Arabidopsis thaliana: one gene and its partners. The protein of the gene in region 1 interacts with the protein of each later gene in a pairwise test. Each region holds a gene or a part of one and is shown on either strand. Other genes may lie near its edges.

Region 1 (5,240 bases):
TGAAATTTCATAACACACTATTCTCAGCTCTTCAAGATTCAGTGTTTCATTCGTGAAGACGAATGCATGTTGTTCTAGTCTCGATACGAGAAACTGCGTTTATGAAAATAAGAAAAAGAAGAATAAATTAGCATGGGCTTGATTTACACCCGTCCGTCACCGAAATGGGCTACAAATAAATCATGGGCTTTTAATATTCTAACTTAGAAGAAATTTGGCCCATTGCTTAAACACGAGGCACAAACCATATATTTTTTTTGAGCCAAAAAAAAAAGTCTTGATATTTTAGCATTTTGTCCTTTTTGGAGACAGTGGTGTCAGATAGCTGACAACCTATATAAATAAATAAATAAAATAGAGTTTTCTTTTACTCTTACTTTCTTTATTAGTTTCATAATAATATGTGTAAAAGTAAGAGTTGGATATTTTTCGTTTTAATTTCTGCCTTCGAATTAGTTACGCATACAAAGCATAAGAGACAAGAGACATAGCGTACCAAAAAAGAAGAAAATAGTGCAAAAATATCATATAGTTTTCTGGTACGCCTCATCAATTCCACCCCCGTACACCATAATTATATAGAATTTCAATATCGAAATGTCGACAGCAACAAAATTCAACATGTCGAATAATATTGTTTTAAATATTCCATTTTACTAGAAGATGAAAAAAAGAGAGAAGAAAGTAACCTTTTGTCTTTGTCACCTTGACTTAAACAGTAATACAAACCCCACAAGTAAATTATTCAAGTTCAAATCGTAGTTAATGTTTATATTTGAGAATTGCAAATGGTTTAAACGAAAACCAAACTACGAATTACAAATTTGAAGAGGACTTGTACTAGAAAATAAATAGAGAAAAGAAGAATAATAAATAGTAACAGAAAATGGGAAAGATGATGATTCGTGTGGACCAAGTCTCTCCTCCCCTTTAGCTTGCCTTATTGGTAAAGTATCCTCCTGCAAGCAAACGTATCTGTCACTCCTTTTTTATTTTCTTTCACCTTCTATCTTATTCTCATTAATTCTTCTTTTTTGGTCAACTTCATGTATAGAAAATAATACCAAAATTTTTTGATATAGTAAAACTATTAGAACTGAATTTCAAACAAAAATAATACAAATTTAAGCAAAAAAATATTAAAAATAAATTTTAAAGAATATTTTTACATATAATAAATATACATAGTTGATACTTTTATATAATTATTAATTTATGATATTAATGAGACCATATATTTACATAGAACATTCAAAATAATTATTATCTTATTAATCTATCGATATATATCACTTTTTATACTAGTTTTTGGAATCTTAATAATTTATTAATTTGTAGAAGTTATTAATTTATAGAGGTTTTACTGTACATGTCAGCATTTAACTTTTGATAAGCACAAAACCATTACATATTTTCCAACCAGATTATTTTCTATTTATCCTAGCGTTTGTAAATCTTTGAACTACAATAATTTATCAAATACAATATAAGATTTTTATACTAAAGATGTATACAATGCATTTAACATTAAAGGAAACAAATAAACTCTAATCTTTTAAAAAAATACTTTACCTTTTAAAAAGAGTTATTAATCACATAAGCAATATTTAATTTTTCATTATTTTTTTCATCATCTGTCTAACATATTACTTTTTAAAAAATATTTATCGTTGGATACTTACTTTTCAGACCACACACTAGGACTAGTGGTTCCTTTATTTTACTGCATAGAACGACAACAAAAAGCTAAGCAGTAACATTTTTTAGGGTTTTATTACTGCAACACTCAAAAATGAGAAATTATTATTAAAATTGAAAATGAAAAATAGTAATCGCAATCCGAAATTACTTTTTTTCTAGCCTTCTAGGAACTCGAAAAGAAAGCAAATTTCTTGCAATTGAAGGTACCTGCTTCTCTTTTTCTGGTTTGTCTGGTTTCATATTAAAAAAAACATTTTGACAACTATATTTCTGGTTTGTCTGAAAAAATTGAGAAGAAAACCTAGAAACAAATACGGTCTTTTTTTTTTCTTTTTATGGGTCGCGAATCTCTGGCTGTTGTGTCCTCGCCGCCATCGGCGACTGCGCCCAGTACTGCTGTGTCGGCTACCTCGCTTGCTCCTGGCTTTCGATTTCATCCGACTGATGAGGAACTCGTGAGCTATTACTTGAAGAGGAAGGTTCTGGGTAAACCTGTACGCTTCGATGCGATTGGAGAGGTAGATATCTACAAGCATGAGCCCTGGGATTTAGCAGGTTCGTTAGGTTTCTTCTTCTTCATTTCTGCTTATCTCTATGATTTGGGGGTTTCTGTGAATTTGATGCTTCTGATTTGGGATTTTTGTCGCCTGGGCTTATTGGTTGTTCCGTCTTCTGGCTCAATTCTGGGAAATGAGTTTAGCTTTTACGTGCTCCGATTCGTTTTCTGGGAAATTTTTTGTTGCAGAGAAGATTCTCTGTTCGTACCTGGCGCTAAGTTTAGGCAATTAGGCTTTAACACTGTGAAGACATTCCATCCAATTGACTTCTTAACTGAAGAAAGTCGAATTTTCTTCAGATTGCTTTAAGAATTTCGTGTTTGCTTGTGCTACAGTTATGTTTGCTTGTGCTACAGTTATGTTTGCTTGTGGATCAGGAAATGAAGTTTGTTGCTTGTGTGTTTGGCTATCTGAAGTGTTCTCAAGTATGATCTGAAAGAAAAAAAACCTTGTGATGTGTTGTGTGTTTCAGTGTTTTCGAAGTTGAAAACTCGGGACCAAGAATGGTACTTCTTCAGTGCGTTAGATAAGAAGTACGGTAATGGTGCTAGGATGAATCGAGCAACTAACAAAGGGTACTGGAAAGCAACTGGAAAAGACAGAGAAATCCGCCGGGATATTCAGTTGCTCGGTATGAAAAAGACGCTTGTTTTCCACAGCGGGCGTGCTCCAGACGGCCTTCGGACTAATTGGGTCATGCACGAGTATCGCCTTGTGGAATATGAAACTGAAACTAACGGAAGCCTGCTGGTATTATGTTGTCCAAAAGAGTTACTTTTGAATTGGGGTTATCTCATTTTGTAAGAATCCTATCTTATCTTACTTCTTTGTCTGGGTGCAGCAGGATGCATATGTGTTGTGCAGAGTGTTTCACAAGAATAACATTGGGCCACCAAGTGGGAACAGATATGCGCCATTCATGGAAGAAGAATGGGCTGATGGTGGAGGAGCTCTGATTCCAGGAATAGACGTTAGGGTCAGGGTAGAGGCTCTACCACAAGCCAATGGAAACAACCAGATGGACCAGGTTTGTACTTTCTTTATACTCAAATGTTTCTTATATGCATAACCTCTGTGATACATCCCTCTAATGTGAATCATCTCTCTTGATTCACAAGATATTATATTTCTTATTGCAAAAGCTCTTTGCTTCTCTAAGTGCTGTTTCAGTGGGCTGATTTACTTAAACTGCACAATTCCATTAAGTTTGCTATCACCTTTTGTAGAACTCAGCTCAACCTTACAGCTTTATCTAATGAAAGGTCTCTCTTGATTCACAAGATATCTAATTTTTCTTTATGGTCCTTTTTCTTTGAGATTTATCCTTTGATTACATGATATTTCAGACTTACAATCTTCGTTTGGCATTAAAGGTGCTCAACAAGAGAAATATTTATTGTGTTTTGGTTAATCTGCAAAGTCGATCAACGCGTTTTGGTTTGAGATATTTTATGTCTGTTGGGGTTCACATAACTTGTAATTTGTTGTAGGAAATGCATTCAGCAAGCAAGGATCTCATTAACATCAACGAGCTACCGAGAGATGCTACTCCAATGGACATCGAACCTAACCAACAGAATCATCATGAGAGTGCCTTCAAGCCACAGGAGAGTAACAACCATAGTGGTTATGAAGAAGATGAGGACACACTCAAACGCGAGCACGCAGAAGAAGATGAGCGTCCTCCTTCTCTATGCATTCTCAACAAAGAAGCTCCACTACCTCTCCTGCAATACAAACGTAGACGCCAAAACGAGTCCAACAACAACTCAAGCAGGAACACACAGGACCATTGTTCGTCCACAATAACAACCGTCGACAATACAACCACCTTAATCTCATCATCTGCTGCTGCTGCTACCAACACTGCCATCTCTGCATTGCTTGAGTTCTCACTTATGGGTATCTCCGACAAGAAAGAAAACCAGCAGAAAGAGGAAACTTCTCCTCCTAGTCCAATTGCATCTCCTGAAGAGAAGGTTAATGATCTCCAGAAGGAGGTTCACCAGATGTCTGTTGAAAGAGAAACTTTCAAGCTTGAGATGATGAGTGCAGAGGCTATGATCAGCATTCTCCAGTCAAGAATCGATGCGCTGCGTCAGGAGAACGAGGAACTTAAGAAGAAGAACGCCAGTGGACAAGCTAGTTAAACCACCGCAACATCTCTCCAGGTGTCTTCTTCTTCTTCTTCTTCTTCTTTGCCTCTTAGCTGTAATCTTCTTAATAGTATGAGCTATGGATGTAGCTTCTTCAGACGGATCAGAAACCTTATGAATCTCTGTTGTAAAATTAGGATAAAACGGAACGGAGCCAACCAACTAGGTCTTTTTATTTTATCCTTTTTTACTTTGGATGTTTCTGCATCTTTTGGGAACATTTTCAGGCTGATCCATTGTCGTATATTATCATCTATCTATCTAGTCTTTTCAGACAAGAACTCGCTTTTGTTTGGTTTCCTCTCAAGAAATGTTCAGTCTCCATAAAGAAAGCTTTTTCCTTGGGGTAATCATTAGTGGTCAGATATGAGGGCATAATCGTCATTGTCATTTGAAATGACCTTCTGGTCTTCCGGACAAGAACCACTCTGTTGCTTGATGTTTCTGTGTGACTGTCTCCACAGTCCACAGGGAAGAGAGCTTCTTAGGTAAAGTCGTGATTAGTGGAAATGATTGAGGGTATAATCGTCATTGACTAATTCAGCGTTACGATTTAGGAATGTGGTTCCGTCAACGACGTTAGAAGACTTTTGTTACACGTAATTTGCAATTATTTGTTTTTTCTCTAAAAGCGAAAAGCGCTTGGTACGATTCAAGCCTGGATTCCATCTCTCTCCCATTAAGTTTTCAAGAAGAAGTTTTGATCACAGACGTATTTTCGAAATGGTTTCATATCTTACTAGGCAATGGAATTTCGTAGGTGTTATAGAGTTTGGTGTTTATATTTTACTTTTAACTACATCGTCCTATTATACGGAACCTGTCT
Region 2 (2,872 bases), on another chromosome or scaffold:
ACCATAAAACTAATTCCTTCGTGACTAAAGCCAAAAAAAAAAAAATGACATTAGAATGCCAAAATTATTTAATAAACCTAAAATGTGGCATCATTTTGACTAGAATAGAGTAATTTAGTGCATTTTGCATTTGAAGAAAATTGATTTCTGTCCTAAACCTGCATAACAACTCCTATGTAAGTGAAAACTACTAGACTACTACCATTTAGTTATTGAAAAACTATCAGAACTATAAATATATATATGCAATTTAACATGCTAGGGCATAACTTTGGTGAAACCATTTTGACTTTTCTAGGAGTTACAGTAATAGCATAATACATATACTCTATTATGTAAATTTTGATAATAGGATCCTTGTTAATTATATCTACGGGAAAACAGCCAGTTCTCCTATGAAGTGTGCTTAAAAGTACACTAACTTAAATAAAAATTACATTTCATACACGAACAATTCAAATATGACAAAACAATTAAATTGGCAAAGAGTGTTACATTTCCGTTAACATATGCTTACTAGGATGCAGCGTTTACAATTTAAGATGCCACTTCATTTAAATTCTAAAACAAAAATTATGGATAAAATCTTATTTAGAAAGAACTGAGCATATGACCTTTATGGATATTTTGCACACTCACTACCAATTTAGATTGGACAACTTCTTTGTCAATTAATTACATACACAAACGTGTAAATATATAGTCTCCTTTAATTTTGCCATAGTTTTTACTGAATATCGATGTGTAATTATTTCATATATGTTCCTTGTATCATCTCTAATTAAGAAAGTAGAATGAATCTTTTTTGTATATATGTACTAGGATCTAATTTAGAAATGTTTTGAGAAGTGGGAGTTGAAGATGCTTCTTATACAAAAGGTACAAGTTAAGAAGCTAGGGATTTATTGTCCCTGCTGAGTGGGTGCTATGTTCTTCTGGCCTAGAGACTCATGCTCACTTATTCTTTGACTGTGCTTATTCTGCCACTCTTTGGGAAGGGTTTGCTTCAAGGATTTGGCCTTCTCCTCCATCTGGTCTTCTCTCGATTTCTTCTTGGATTTTGCAGGTAAGGACTTCTTCTAACCCCAAGATCATGACTATTGCCAAGCTCATCTTGCAAGCGGCCTGCTATCTCATCTAGCGGGAGCGTAATGTCCGGATCTTCAACAACATAACCTCACCGACATCTGTTACTCAAGCTTCCCTGGACCGCTCTTTAAGGGATCGGTTTCTCTCCCTCTTCTTCTACCTCTCCTTCTCTTCTTCTTACTTATTTTGGTTGTATTAGTTTTTCTTTCTAGCAATTTTTTTTTCTAGTAAGTTTCGCTTTCGTAAAAAAAAACAGAAAATTGGTATAAAGTTAACCTTCTACCAAAAAAAAAAAGGTACAAGTTCAGAATATCATACATTCATTATTACCATAAAATCTCTTCTAGTCAAAGTCTCTACATCCGGAATTAAGAGTTGTTATTAATCGACCATAACTATGCGGATAACAAATATTAACAACCTTCCAAACATTAATCTAAGAATTGACTAATTTTTATGCAATTTAATTTACCACCATTTTTCCATCTATATAAACCCTATCTTGCACCCAACCAAAAAAAAAATATTCCTTGGCTAAAGCCAAATACATCAATCACATACTTAGCTTAAATTTCTCTCTTTTTTTTTTATAACCAATAAACTCATAATTTTGTTTTTCTCCAAAATGAATCCCAAGAAAACCAAAGGAAAACAAAAGATTAACATCAAGAAAATTGAAAAAGACGAAGACAGATCGGTCACATTGTCTAAGCGTCTAAATGCTATCTACACTATGATCATTGAGCTTTCCATTCTCTGTGGTGTTGAAGTTGCGTTTATCGGGTATTCTTGCTCTGGAAAACCATACACATTCGGCAGTCCGTCCTTCCAAGCCGTGGTGGAGCGGTTTCTCAACGGCGAGGCCTCGTCGTCTTCTTCATCATCGTTGCAACGATCGGTCAAGAATGCTCACAAGCAAGCGAAGATTCAAGAGCTTTGCAAAAGATACAATAGATTGGTGGAGGAGTTAAAGGTGGACGAAGTCAAAGTCAAGAAGGCAGCTGCATTGGCGGAGACGAGGGCCGTGAATAAGGATGCGTGGTGGAAAGCAGATCCAAATGACGTGAAGGATCACGAAAAGGCGAAGAAGATGATGGAGAAGTATCAAGAGCTCAAAGAGAAACTGCGTGAGGAAGTTGCTTTAAGGATCAAGAGAGGACATGATGAGAATAATAACAAATGATCTGTAATCAAGATTTTAATTAGTAGATCACTTGTGATCATCACTAGTTAATTATGAGTGTTAAGAATTATGTTTTTTATTTGTCTTTTTTATACATTATGAATTGTTATTGTTTTCTACAACATCCAGTAATGGGTTAAAAAAACTGAAATATTTTGTTTTAATAGATATCACCTTTGAGTTTAACAAAATCTTATTAAAACAGAAAGAAAAAAAGTATTGTGTAGTAGTATGATGCTCTTTAATTTTTATTTTATTTTACCAAAGAGAAGTCATGAAAGATTTTGTAACATATTAAACTGTGAAAAATGCTGCTACAAGGAGACTTTGTTAAATTGGCAAAGAGTGTTACATTTCCGTTAACATATGCTTACTAGGATGCAGCGTTTACAATTTAAGATGCCACTTCATTTAAATTCTAAAACAAAAATTATGGATAAAATCTTATTTAGAAAGAACTGAGCATATGACCTTTATGCATATTTTGCACACTCACTACCAATTTAGATTGGACAACTTCTTTGTCAATTAATTACATACACAAACGTGTAAATATATAGTCTCCTTTAATTTTGCCATAGTTTTTACTGAATATCGATG
Region 3 (5,121 bases), 3.0 Mb from region 1:
TTTAGGTAGGCGTTTGCGTTTTCATCTTGTAATGTTTTCTAATCATTGTAACATGAAAACACAAACGCATACATAATTGCAGACAAAGTTGTTCCATCACATTACAAAAGACACCGTTAACATATAACTCTTAATACACAACAAAAGTCAGAGAAGAATCTACAGAGTATGAACAGCTGATTCGATTTCGCCGTCCATTGAATCAGCCGTTTCTCTGAACGATTGGCTATGAAGATGCCTGGTAAAACTAGTGGTCGTGTCCAAGAAATATAGAATCGAGGACATCATACAACAGCACACAAACATCGGGATTGGCCCGAAGGTCCATAAGAAGAGAGGGAAGGAGAAGTAGAAAGCCCGTAATCCGAGAGACCAGAAGTAGCTAGCTCGGTTCAGGTTTCTAGACACGTACTCGCAGTGCTCTCTTTTCCCTCTTGAGACAGGCACTGTGACTAGGAAACTTACGTGAGCGTAATACCTGATTGACTGGATGTTGCAGAGAAAGGCCATGAGGAAACAGATCAGGATTGCAAAGTTCTTGAATGACGCTAAGCGAGGGCTTTTGCTCCCGTATATGAGATTTGTTGCCGTGGATTTTGAAGATGACGAGTTGCTTACAAAGACGCCGATGATGGAACATAAAGTGATTGCTGTTGTGGCTAAAAGGGTTGATGCCATTATGTTGTTCCGGATTGTCTGAACAGCCAAGGTACCATTTTTCAGTGGTTCCTGGAAATAACAATAGATAAACTTATATCATCTACTGCAAAAGAACCAATACTGAGAGCCAAGACCACCGATAATTCGGATCTTAACGGACAGACACACGACTGTGTTCTTGTTTCTCATGTCTATGACTCTGTTCCTATCCAATGAACCTCATTAACTAGCTCCAAGATTCTAGCTGAAATATGCGTAGAGTTGTGAACTATAGGGATCTGTGATGCATATCCTCCATGAACAAGAAGAGTTCTTGAAAAATGTCAAGCTTCCAAGGAAGATAGCCAACCGTCTATTATAACATTGATTCTACTAATGAAGATTCACATCTAACATCACTTGACAGCTCCAAGACTTTGCTTCTCCTAATCTCATCATCTTTACTCATCATAAACCCTGCTCAATTTTGCTACCTGATGTTTGAAGATCCAAATATTTATGGTTTACTAGTTTTTAGTTGACTTCGAAAACTTCAGAATCATGAAAATTGAGGATAGGAGAGCCGTAAGACTCTCAATACCCAATTCCTAAAATCACGAACAAAGCAGCTCTATTGCCATAAACCCTAATCTAGACCCCAAAATCTCCAGAATCAGAAATACCAAGAAAATCCCAGAATGTCACCAAAAGAGGAACAATAGAAATGAGAAGAGAAAAAAACATACAGTCATCATAGAGAAGACCCATTGTCGTCGAGACTCAGCGTTGAGAGCGATAACAGTGAGCTTGGGGCGGTGAAGAATAGCGTAGACGAGCCAGACATGGTAAGCAACCATCACGACCAGACCCGTCGGCACAAGCACTAAATCCAAAGATTCCTCCGTCCACATTTCTACTTCGCCGCAGAGATACTTTCAATTCGTACGGTTGTTCCGTGATCGGAAAGATCGATGGCGGCCAAAAGATTTTGGCAGAGGCAAGAGACGAAAAAGCACCAAGCTTTGAGAGCGAAAGCTTTCATTCACACGTGTGAACTTAACAAACTCCAGAGGAGACTATCGATATCTCTCACGTGTTAACCAATAACGCACTAACAGACAACTCAAAGTCGAATGATTTCAATTCCACGATTATACCGGTAATTTCAGTTTAAACCAAATAACCGGTTCGAATTATTTAATGGGCCGCCTAATAGATGGGCTAGAAAATCATTTAACTCTTCTTATAAGGCGTATGACTGGTGGTTTCGTGCGTAATATTAACAAATAAATAAAAGATAAAAAAATCTTCGAGGGAACATTCAGAAACCCTAACTTCAACGGGAACTCAAAAATCAGAATCTCCAGATCGAGAGCTTAAAAAGTCGATTTCAATTCCCCTTTAAGATTTTTTGCTTTTGGAATGTAGTGTGAAGAAGAAACCCTAGTTTTTTCTCACTTGAATTCTCTGCCTTCTTTAGTAATGTCAAGTGAGCAGCGAGAAGGTTCGCAAGAGACGACGACGACGACGGTGGAAGGTAACGGAACAATTGCAGGTCAGAATTCTCATTCGGCGGCTCCCACGACATTGAGAGCTACCTCTACGATGGTTTCTTGCCAGAGACTAAGGCTAAACCCTAACAACGAGCATAGACCCGATAGTTATGAAGATCTGCAGCTTGATTTCCCAAACTCGGTATATTCTAGTCTGGAGAAGTACTTGCCTCCGAATATGCTCGTCTCGAATCGTGATGAGAAAATCAAATTCATGACTGATATTATGCTTAGGCATCTTCCTCATGGAGAGCGTTCCAGAGTAAGTACTAGATTTGGACCTTTCTCTCTTGAATTTTGTTTTTACTTGTATTGATGACTGTGAATTGCTTTAGAAGCTACACTTCATTATGAAAATTTGAGCTTTTGCTAATTGCTACTATGAACTGGTTTCACTTTTAGTTAAGTGGTTATGGAAATTTCAATCTGGTTAGATGATGGTTGGTAGAAGATATTGCATGAATGGTTTGAAAATGTCAATATGAGCTCAAGAGTTTTATTAAGTAGTTTTGTTTGGCTGATGCTACAGGCTCAAAGGCACAGTGACTATAGGCTGAAGATTACAACAAATTATCAGGTGTGAATCCTTTCTTGAGCTTTCTTGTGTTCTGTATTGCTCTGCTCCAGTCATTTGTTAGTAGTTTGAAGTGTTTTTCTACTGCAGCCACTTCACAAGGAGTTGTATACTCTAGTTCCCACAGTATGTTTCGTTCCTGCTTTCCTTAAGGCGATAAATGAAAACACAGAGGAAAGCTTCAGAAATATAATATCTGAACCGTCTCCTGGTGTTTTCGTCTTTGACATGCTCCAGCCTAGCTTTTGTGAGATGATGCTAGCCGAGGTAATGTGCATCCATTTTTTGTTTTTCTCTTATCCTTCGTATTTTGTTCATTTGCTCTTGTTTGACCATGCAGATAGACAATTTTGAAAGGTGGGTGGGTGAGACCAAATTCCGGATAATGAGACCAAACACCATGAATAAATACGGTGCTGTGCTTGACGACTTTGGTCTAGACACCATGCTTGACAAACTCATGGAGGGGTTTATACGTCCCATCTCTAAAGGCAATATATTTTTAAATCCATTACATAGTCTATTATTGGAAAGTCTGTTTAATATGTTCACAGTGTTAAAACTAAAAAGCTACTTCGAATCTTTTGTTTTGCAGTATTCTTCAGTGATGTGGGTGGAGCAACTCTGGACTCTCACCATGGTTTTGTTGTTGAATATGGGAAAGATAGGGATGTTGATTTAGGTGAGACCCTTTGACATATCCTGTATAATTTCCCATGACCTGACTAGTTGTCCTAAATGCAGATATATTCCAATACTCACGTTATTCTGGCTGAAAATTATCAGATGTTATATAAATTTTCAGGCTTTCATGTGGATGATTCAGAAGTAACGCTGAATGTTTGTTTGGGTAATCAATTTGTGGGAGGGGAGCTATTTTTCAGAGGCACACGGTGTGAAAAACATGTGAACACAGCAACAAAGGCAGATGTATGCCACTCTTTTCTGTTGCTTTCTTGTCTTCTAACATTCTGTATATGGCTGATAGCTAATATAAACAACTCTTTTTTTTCTGCGAAAGCAGGAAACATATGATTATTGTCATATACCTGGACAAGCTGTGCTTCACCGTGGCCGCCACCGCCATGGTGCCAGAGCCACAACATGCGGGCATCGGGTCAATATGCTTCTATGGTGCAGAAGGTAAATAGCATCTAAAACTTGCCTCTAGACTGCCATGCATCTTTTTTTACATTGCAATTGACTTTCCATTTTTATTTGGTTTCTTATTAAGCTTGTCTTTCGTGTTGTTCCTTGCAGTTCTGTATTTAGAGAGCTCAAAACTCATCACAAGGATTTCTCCAGCTGGTGTGGAGAGTGCTTTTGTGAAAAGAGAGATGAGAAAGTGCGGTCGATTGATGCTCTAAGAAAGGTAAGCCTGTGATTGATCAAGCTTATATAGTTCTCTGTTTACTAGAATGGTCGATGATTCTATGCTCTTTATTGCTATTGCAGAAATTGTTTAAACCACGTCAAACCCAAGCTTGATGGAACACTAGCAAGATGAGCAATTGATGAAACATTAGTAAGATAAGCAATAACATATATTGGATGACATTAAAACTTGAGATCAAGCCCTGAAGAATTGCTCCTGTTTTAAGCTGACTTAAAACTGAGCCTATGTAGAAATCATTTGAGTTATATGGGTCTCTGTTTATCGTTTCTCAGACTCTTTGATAAAATATGTACATGAAAGAATCTAGTCTCAACTTCACTTGTGTACTACAAGGAGTCATATTGTTGTCCGATTTTTTTTGTTCTTTCATATGAGTACAAGGAAGAATTGGTGTTATCTAATTGGATTTGGTGATGCTGCTCTCTTAAATCTCCATATTCGCCTCAAATCGTTGCTCTACTGAGTTGTGCACTTGTGCTCTTCACCAATGGCTAGAGCCACAAATAATGGATTTTGCTCTTATAGAAACCCAAATCGATTGCTTCGGTAGGCTCTTTTGAATATAAATGAGCATTAGGGCCATTGTGCACGTTATTCTAAATAATGGAAGAGAGAAGAAAGTGTAGATGGTGTTTTGTTGCTGTCTTGTTATTTCATGGCAAGACAAATCGAAATTGGGTGTGAAACGGTACTACCAACCCAATTAGTTGACTTTAAGGCTTATCATTGAATCCTTTTATGGATCTGTTATTTATGTCTCTTTTATATACTCTTCCATTCATTCTTCTCACCAAATTCATTTTATTTTTGGGGTTTCTTGGTATCTTTTTGACAATCTATGTTGATACGATGTTTATATATATGATCACACTAATTAGCAATGTAGATGAAAACACAATCCTTCATCTTCATGATACAGTAGTATAAGATCAATAAGGATCATTTGGGTCTGTTTTAAA
Region 4 (4,133 bases), on another chromosome or scaffold:
TCGGTAGGGTTTTGTTTATGTATTATGATTCCAAGGTTATGTAAGATTTTCTATTTATTTTAATGATTTTTTTTTATTATTTGGTGTATTTTAATTAATTATGTACTTTTTTTAAAAGGGTTAAATCATCCATTTTTGTAACTTTACCCTCCACCTCCAATATATGCAGATTAATCTTATAAAGTTTAAAATAATACGCAATATGACATTTATACGTATATTGTAAACGTTTTTACGATGATATACATTAGAATTTTAAAATTTTGAAGGCAGAGTTGAACTCTTCATCGTGAGGGTTTAGATTTAATATATTACATGTCAATATTTTACAAAATTAATAGTAAAGAAAAAAACAAAGAAGGGTTACAATGCGTATTATTTTAGACTTCATAGGATTAATCTCAATATGTTGGAGGTGAAGGATAAAATTGTAAAAATGGATGAGTTCGAAGTGTTTTTTTACACAAAACCCTTTTTTTAACAACCATTAATTAAGTACATAACAAAACTAAGAAATGAGTTTTAAAAAAATGTTTGATCTTTCATAGGTTTTTCATCAGTAAAATTCAACATAAACAAAATAAGGTTATGAGAAGTATTTTTGAGTTTTGTGACACTTTGAGTTTCAATCATCTGAGTATATCAAATTCAAATCTCATCCTCTTCATGGTGAAAAGCAAAGATTTAAAACCTCTACAAAAGAAACTATACACTCCATTCTCATTCATAAAAAATACATCACTCGTTATAATTGTAGTAGTAGTGATGCTGTTGATACAGGGTTCTTTGTGAAAAATCTGAGAAAGTCTTCAATCAAATCTTCATGATAGAAGAGAACATCAATGACCTGCAAGATAATATTATTTCTAACCAAATCAAACAAAGAGAACCAAAAAAAAAAAAAAAAAACACAAGTACACAAAATAGCCCACCAAGAACAAACATTACCTCCTCTTGCACCTCCTTTACCGACATCTTTCCCTCTTTAAACATCTTCATTAACCCGCGAATTGCCCCCACTACATGAGTATCAAGGCTCTGAAACCGTGTCTGCAGATGGACAAATTTGCTCTAGTTAGTAAAAGAGGAATCAAAAAAGGATTTTGGTGTTTCTCTCCAAGGATTATTTGTCATTTTAGCATGTGTTTACCTTGAGCTTGTTTATAAAATCCTCTACAGAAACAGGTGGAAGGAAGACACTGAAACCAAGAAGAAGATCCTGATGATCTTTCATCAGTTCCTCCACCCTTGCAATGACACTATATTTATCGACTCTGCAAAAAGAGACTAGTAACATCAGAATCAATTCACAGTTGAAAGTAAAGACCAAACCAAATATAACAGGGAAGAAAAGAATACATACCTATGATCACAAACACCATTCAAGAGCTTGATAAACTCTTGATATTTCGTAGGTTCATCATGAAATGTTTCCTTCACAGCAATGATGTATGAATGCGCATCATCCTTAGTTAGAGCAGGTGATACTCGTCTTCCAACCATGGTTTGAATCTAGCCTTTTGTTATCAAAAGAAAGAGAAGATTTTTGTTCAGTAAAACAGATCACATCATTGAATTTAACCTAGAAGCTATTATTACCACTTGAAGAAACAGAACCTAGAGTGCAGAAATCTTAATAACATTACTTAAATCTATGATTTGCCTCAACACTGAAATTGAACAAGACATAAAGCTGCAATAAGCTAAATTTCTCAAAATCCAAATAATTGTCAAAACCAAAATCAACAACAACTAATTCATTCCCATCAGAACCAACGTGAGAACTTGTGTAAAGTGGCCAATATCAACACAGAGCAAACCAACCAAACACTTAGAAGTCTTAAAATCTCAGTCTTAACAAAAACAATAAGAAGTTAATTCGCTAATTTGAGGGTTTAAATCGGATTTGATGAAATTCAGGTAAAATTGATCACACAGGTACGAAATTAAATTCGAAGAACCCAATTCGAAATCATCCCAGAAACTACAAAATCATTCAATGACAATAAGAGAAGAAGATCATCGTATAGTTACCGAAATTCGAAGACAAAAAGGGCTTCCCTAGCTTACGAGTTACGACACACGATCTCGAAGAAGCAGGAGACTAGAACTAGAAGAAGAGATTTCTCTAGGGTTTAGTTTCCGACACTTAACGTTGGATTATATAATTAAGGATTACATCAAAAGTACGGTTTAAAAAAGGAAAAAGGCAAATCTTCTTCTTTTTTTTAATTAATTAATTAAAACTTTTTAATTGAGAAAAGTAAAAAAAGTAAAAAATGTGAAATGCTAATTTTAGTATAGGGATGATCTAATCGAAAATAGAGATTAATGTTTAGACTAAAGAGATAATTTCCCCAAAACATATATTTCTTAGTTTGACTTTGACATAACATTACATACATATATGTGTTAAATTAATTTGATATGGTTAATGTTTAGGAACTACAGTATTTTCTAATACAACATCACATTCAACAACTCTAATTAATAGTCAATAGCAACACCTAGTATACATTCCTAGTATAAATTTGATAACAACACCTAGTATACTTTGCTTTTTATACTATGTGTTAATGTGAAGTTCTAGCGTTTTAAGATATTTTGAATAATAAGAGTAACGAGTTGAAAAAAGATTAATATTATGAAGTTAATTGAAAGCAACAAAGATCATACAGCCTTATTTATAAAACACAATGGCTAAATTCATAACATAATTCCTAAATAAATAAATAAAAGAACGAATCACAAATAAATTATTCAATTTAATACAAATCTAAACCGAACTTGGTTTAGACGAACGAAGAAATCCCACAACATCACCTACCCATCTCATGCCCCAATCTAATAATTAGATCTCCAACCAATCTGGTAAAAATACATTGAAACCAGAAACCAAGTCTTGGTCTCCGTTAAGCAGTTCCTTCACCGCTGTTATGCAATCAGCCCTACTAATTCTGCAATGAAGTTATAAAATCAAAATTAATTACTTCTTCAACACGAAAAAATTGAACCGAACATTTTTAGTCATATTTTCCAAAAACTATGTATATCACATACTTGCGAACTTTAAAATCTTTCATAATCGCAAGAAAGTCTTCATATTTTTTTCTATCATTATGAAAATGATCCTTCACAGCCTTAATATATGCCTTTGCATCAATTTTGGTTGGCTTCGGCTTGTCTCCTTTATACACAAATATACTGTCTCCTTCCGACATGGTTTTCAATTGATCGAGCTGTATTTTCCAAACAAAGAGAATGATTTTTTATTATTATTTGTTTTCACTGAAGAAATTAATTATTTAATTTTGATTTCTATCTTCTCAAACACATTACCTCTTTTCTTTAAAAGTAACTTAAAATCGTTGGAAAAAAGAACAGGAATTTGCATCAGAGATCTTAATTAACAATTACTCGGATTTTTTAACAGTACATGCAATAAACATGACAATAACCAACTTTAGATCGGTAAAGTCAAAGAAGAATTGTAAAAATACTTCAGAGTAACAAACCATAAAAGTAAAAAAGTTCAAGGAAAAGCAAACCAGAAATTTACTACGGGTAGAAGCTTCACCACTAGGACATGAATCGTTTTGAGTTGTATGGGGTGTCTTTATATATCAAAAACCTTGCAGAAATCAGTCCATTTGCTATTAATATCTTTGTAGCAATGAGATATAATTGTATTGTAATATTAAATGAAATAAACACATGTCAGTTTGTAAATAAAATTTGACATTTATTAAAATTTACAGATTTTTAATGTAAATTTAGTAAATAACAAATTAAATTGTAAATTTTTATAAGCATATCTGTCAAAGCTTTATTTTATTACTTCAACTTTTTCGAGATTTTAAAATCACTTTTGTTACAATGTAGGATTTACTATTACAATTTTTTATATATATTATAATATTACAATGTAGCATTTAGTATTAAAATTATATATTTAGTTGATATTAAAAAATAGACTACATGTCAAAACTCAAAAGAATTGATGCCATAGATCTGAAAATAACTTAGTAAATTTACTTTCGTAGTTTTTCAAATCAAAGCCGACTAGCTGTAACTTAGTTTCTGTATGATTCGTGACGTGATTCAAGAACAGAACAAATTAAAGAACGATTTAT

The links.
Region 2: the proteins of NAC050 (region 1) and AGL58 interact in a two-hybrid assay, tested with the Arabidopsis thaliana proteins (one large-scale study listed by BioGRID).
Region 3: the proteins of NAC050 (region 1) and AT3G18210 interact in a two-hybrid assay, tested with the Arabidopsis thaliana proteins (one large-scale study listed by BioGRID).
Region 4: the proteins of NAC050 (region 1) and AT1G24210 interact in a two-hybrid assay, tested with the Arabidopsis thaliana proteins (one large-scale study listed by BioGRID).

The regions. Positions count from the first base shown.
Region 1 is NC_003074.8:3,262,374-3,267,613, forward strand, and holds NAC050 (NAC domain containing protein 50), read left to right. Parts: upstream 1-1,974; 5' UTR 1,975-2,036; coding exon 2,037-2,256; intron 2,257-2,446; coding exon 2,447-2,476; intron 2,477-2,557; coding exon 2,558-2,626; intron 2,627-2,730; coding exon 2,731-3,008; intron 3,009-3,099; coding exon 3,100-3,285; intron 3,286-3,428; coding exon 3,429-3,520; intron 3,521-3,631; coding exon 3,632-3,677; intron 3,678-3,748; coding exon 3,749-4,408; 3' UTR 4,409-4,717; downstream 4,718-5,240. UniProt on the Arabidopsis thaliana protein: Transcriptional repressor that binds to the motif 5'-(C/T)A(C/A)G-3' in the promoter of target genes. Also binds to the 5'-CTTGNNNNNCAAG-3' consensus sequence in chromatin.
Region 2 is NC_003070.9:10,002,252-10,005,123, forward strand, and holds AGL58 (AGAMOUS-like 58), read left to right. Parts: upstream 1-1,628; 5' UTR 1,629-1,714; coding exon 1,715-2,272; 3' UTR 2,273-2,330; downstream 2,331-2,872.
Region 3 is NC_003074.8:6,237,397-6,242,517, reverse strand, and holds AT3G18210 (2-oxoglutarate (2OG) and Fe(II)-dependent oxygenase superfamily protein), read left to right. Parts: upstream 1-1,912; 5' UTR 1,913-2,121; coding exon 2,122-2,454; intron 2,455-2,721; coding exon 2,722-2,769; intron 2,770-2,856; coding exon 2,857-3,033; intron 3,034-3,106; coding exon 3,107-3,257; intron 3,258-3,361; coding exon 3,362-3,448; intron 3,449-3,571; coding exon 3,572-3,696; intron 3,697-3,790; coding exon 3,791-3,909; intron 3,910-4,026; coding exon 4,027-4,138; intron 4,139-4,221; coding exon 4,222-4,254; 3' UTR 4,255-4,616; downstream 4,617-5,121. Other genes in the region: AT3G18215 (transmembrane protein, putative (Protein of unknown function, DUF599)), read right to left, coding at 160-729, 1,386-1,550. UniProt on the Arabidopsis thaliana protein: Participates in the epigenetic repression of flowering genes in association with ICU11. Functions in the repression of several members of the MADS-box transcription factors family, including SEP3, during vegetative development via histone modification.
Region 4 is NC_003070.9:8,573,025-8,577,157, forward strand, and holds AT1G24210 (Paired amphipathic helix (PAH2) superfamily protein), read right to left. Parts: upstream 2,161-4,133; 5' UTR 2,035-2,160; intron 1,518-2,034; 5' UTR 1,504-1,517; coding exon 1,364-1,503; intron 1,275-1,363; coding exon 1,151-1,274; intron 1,051-1,150; coding exon 949-1,050; intron 848-948; coding exon 746-847; 3' UTR 520-745; downstream 1-519.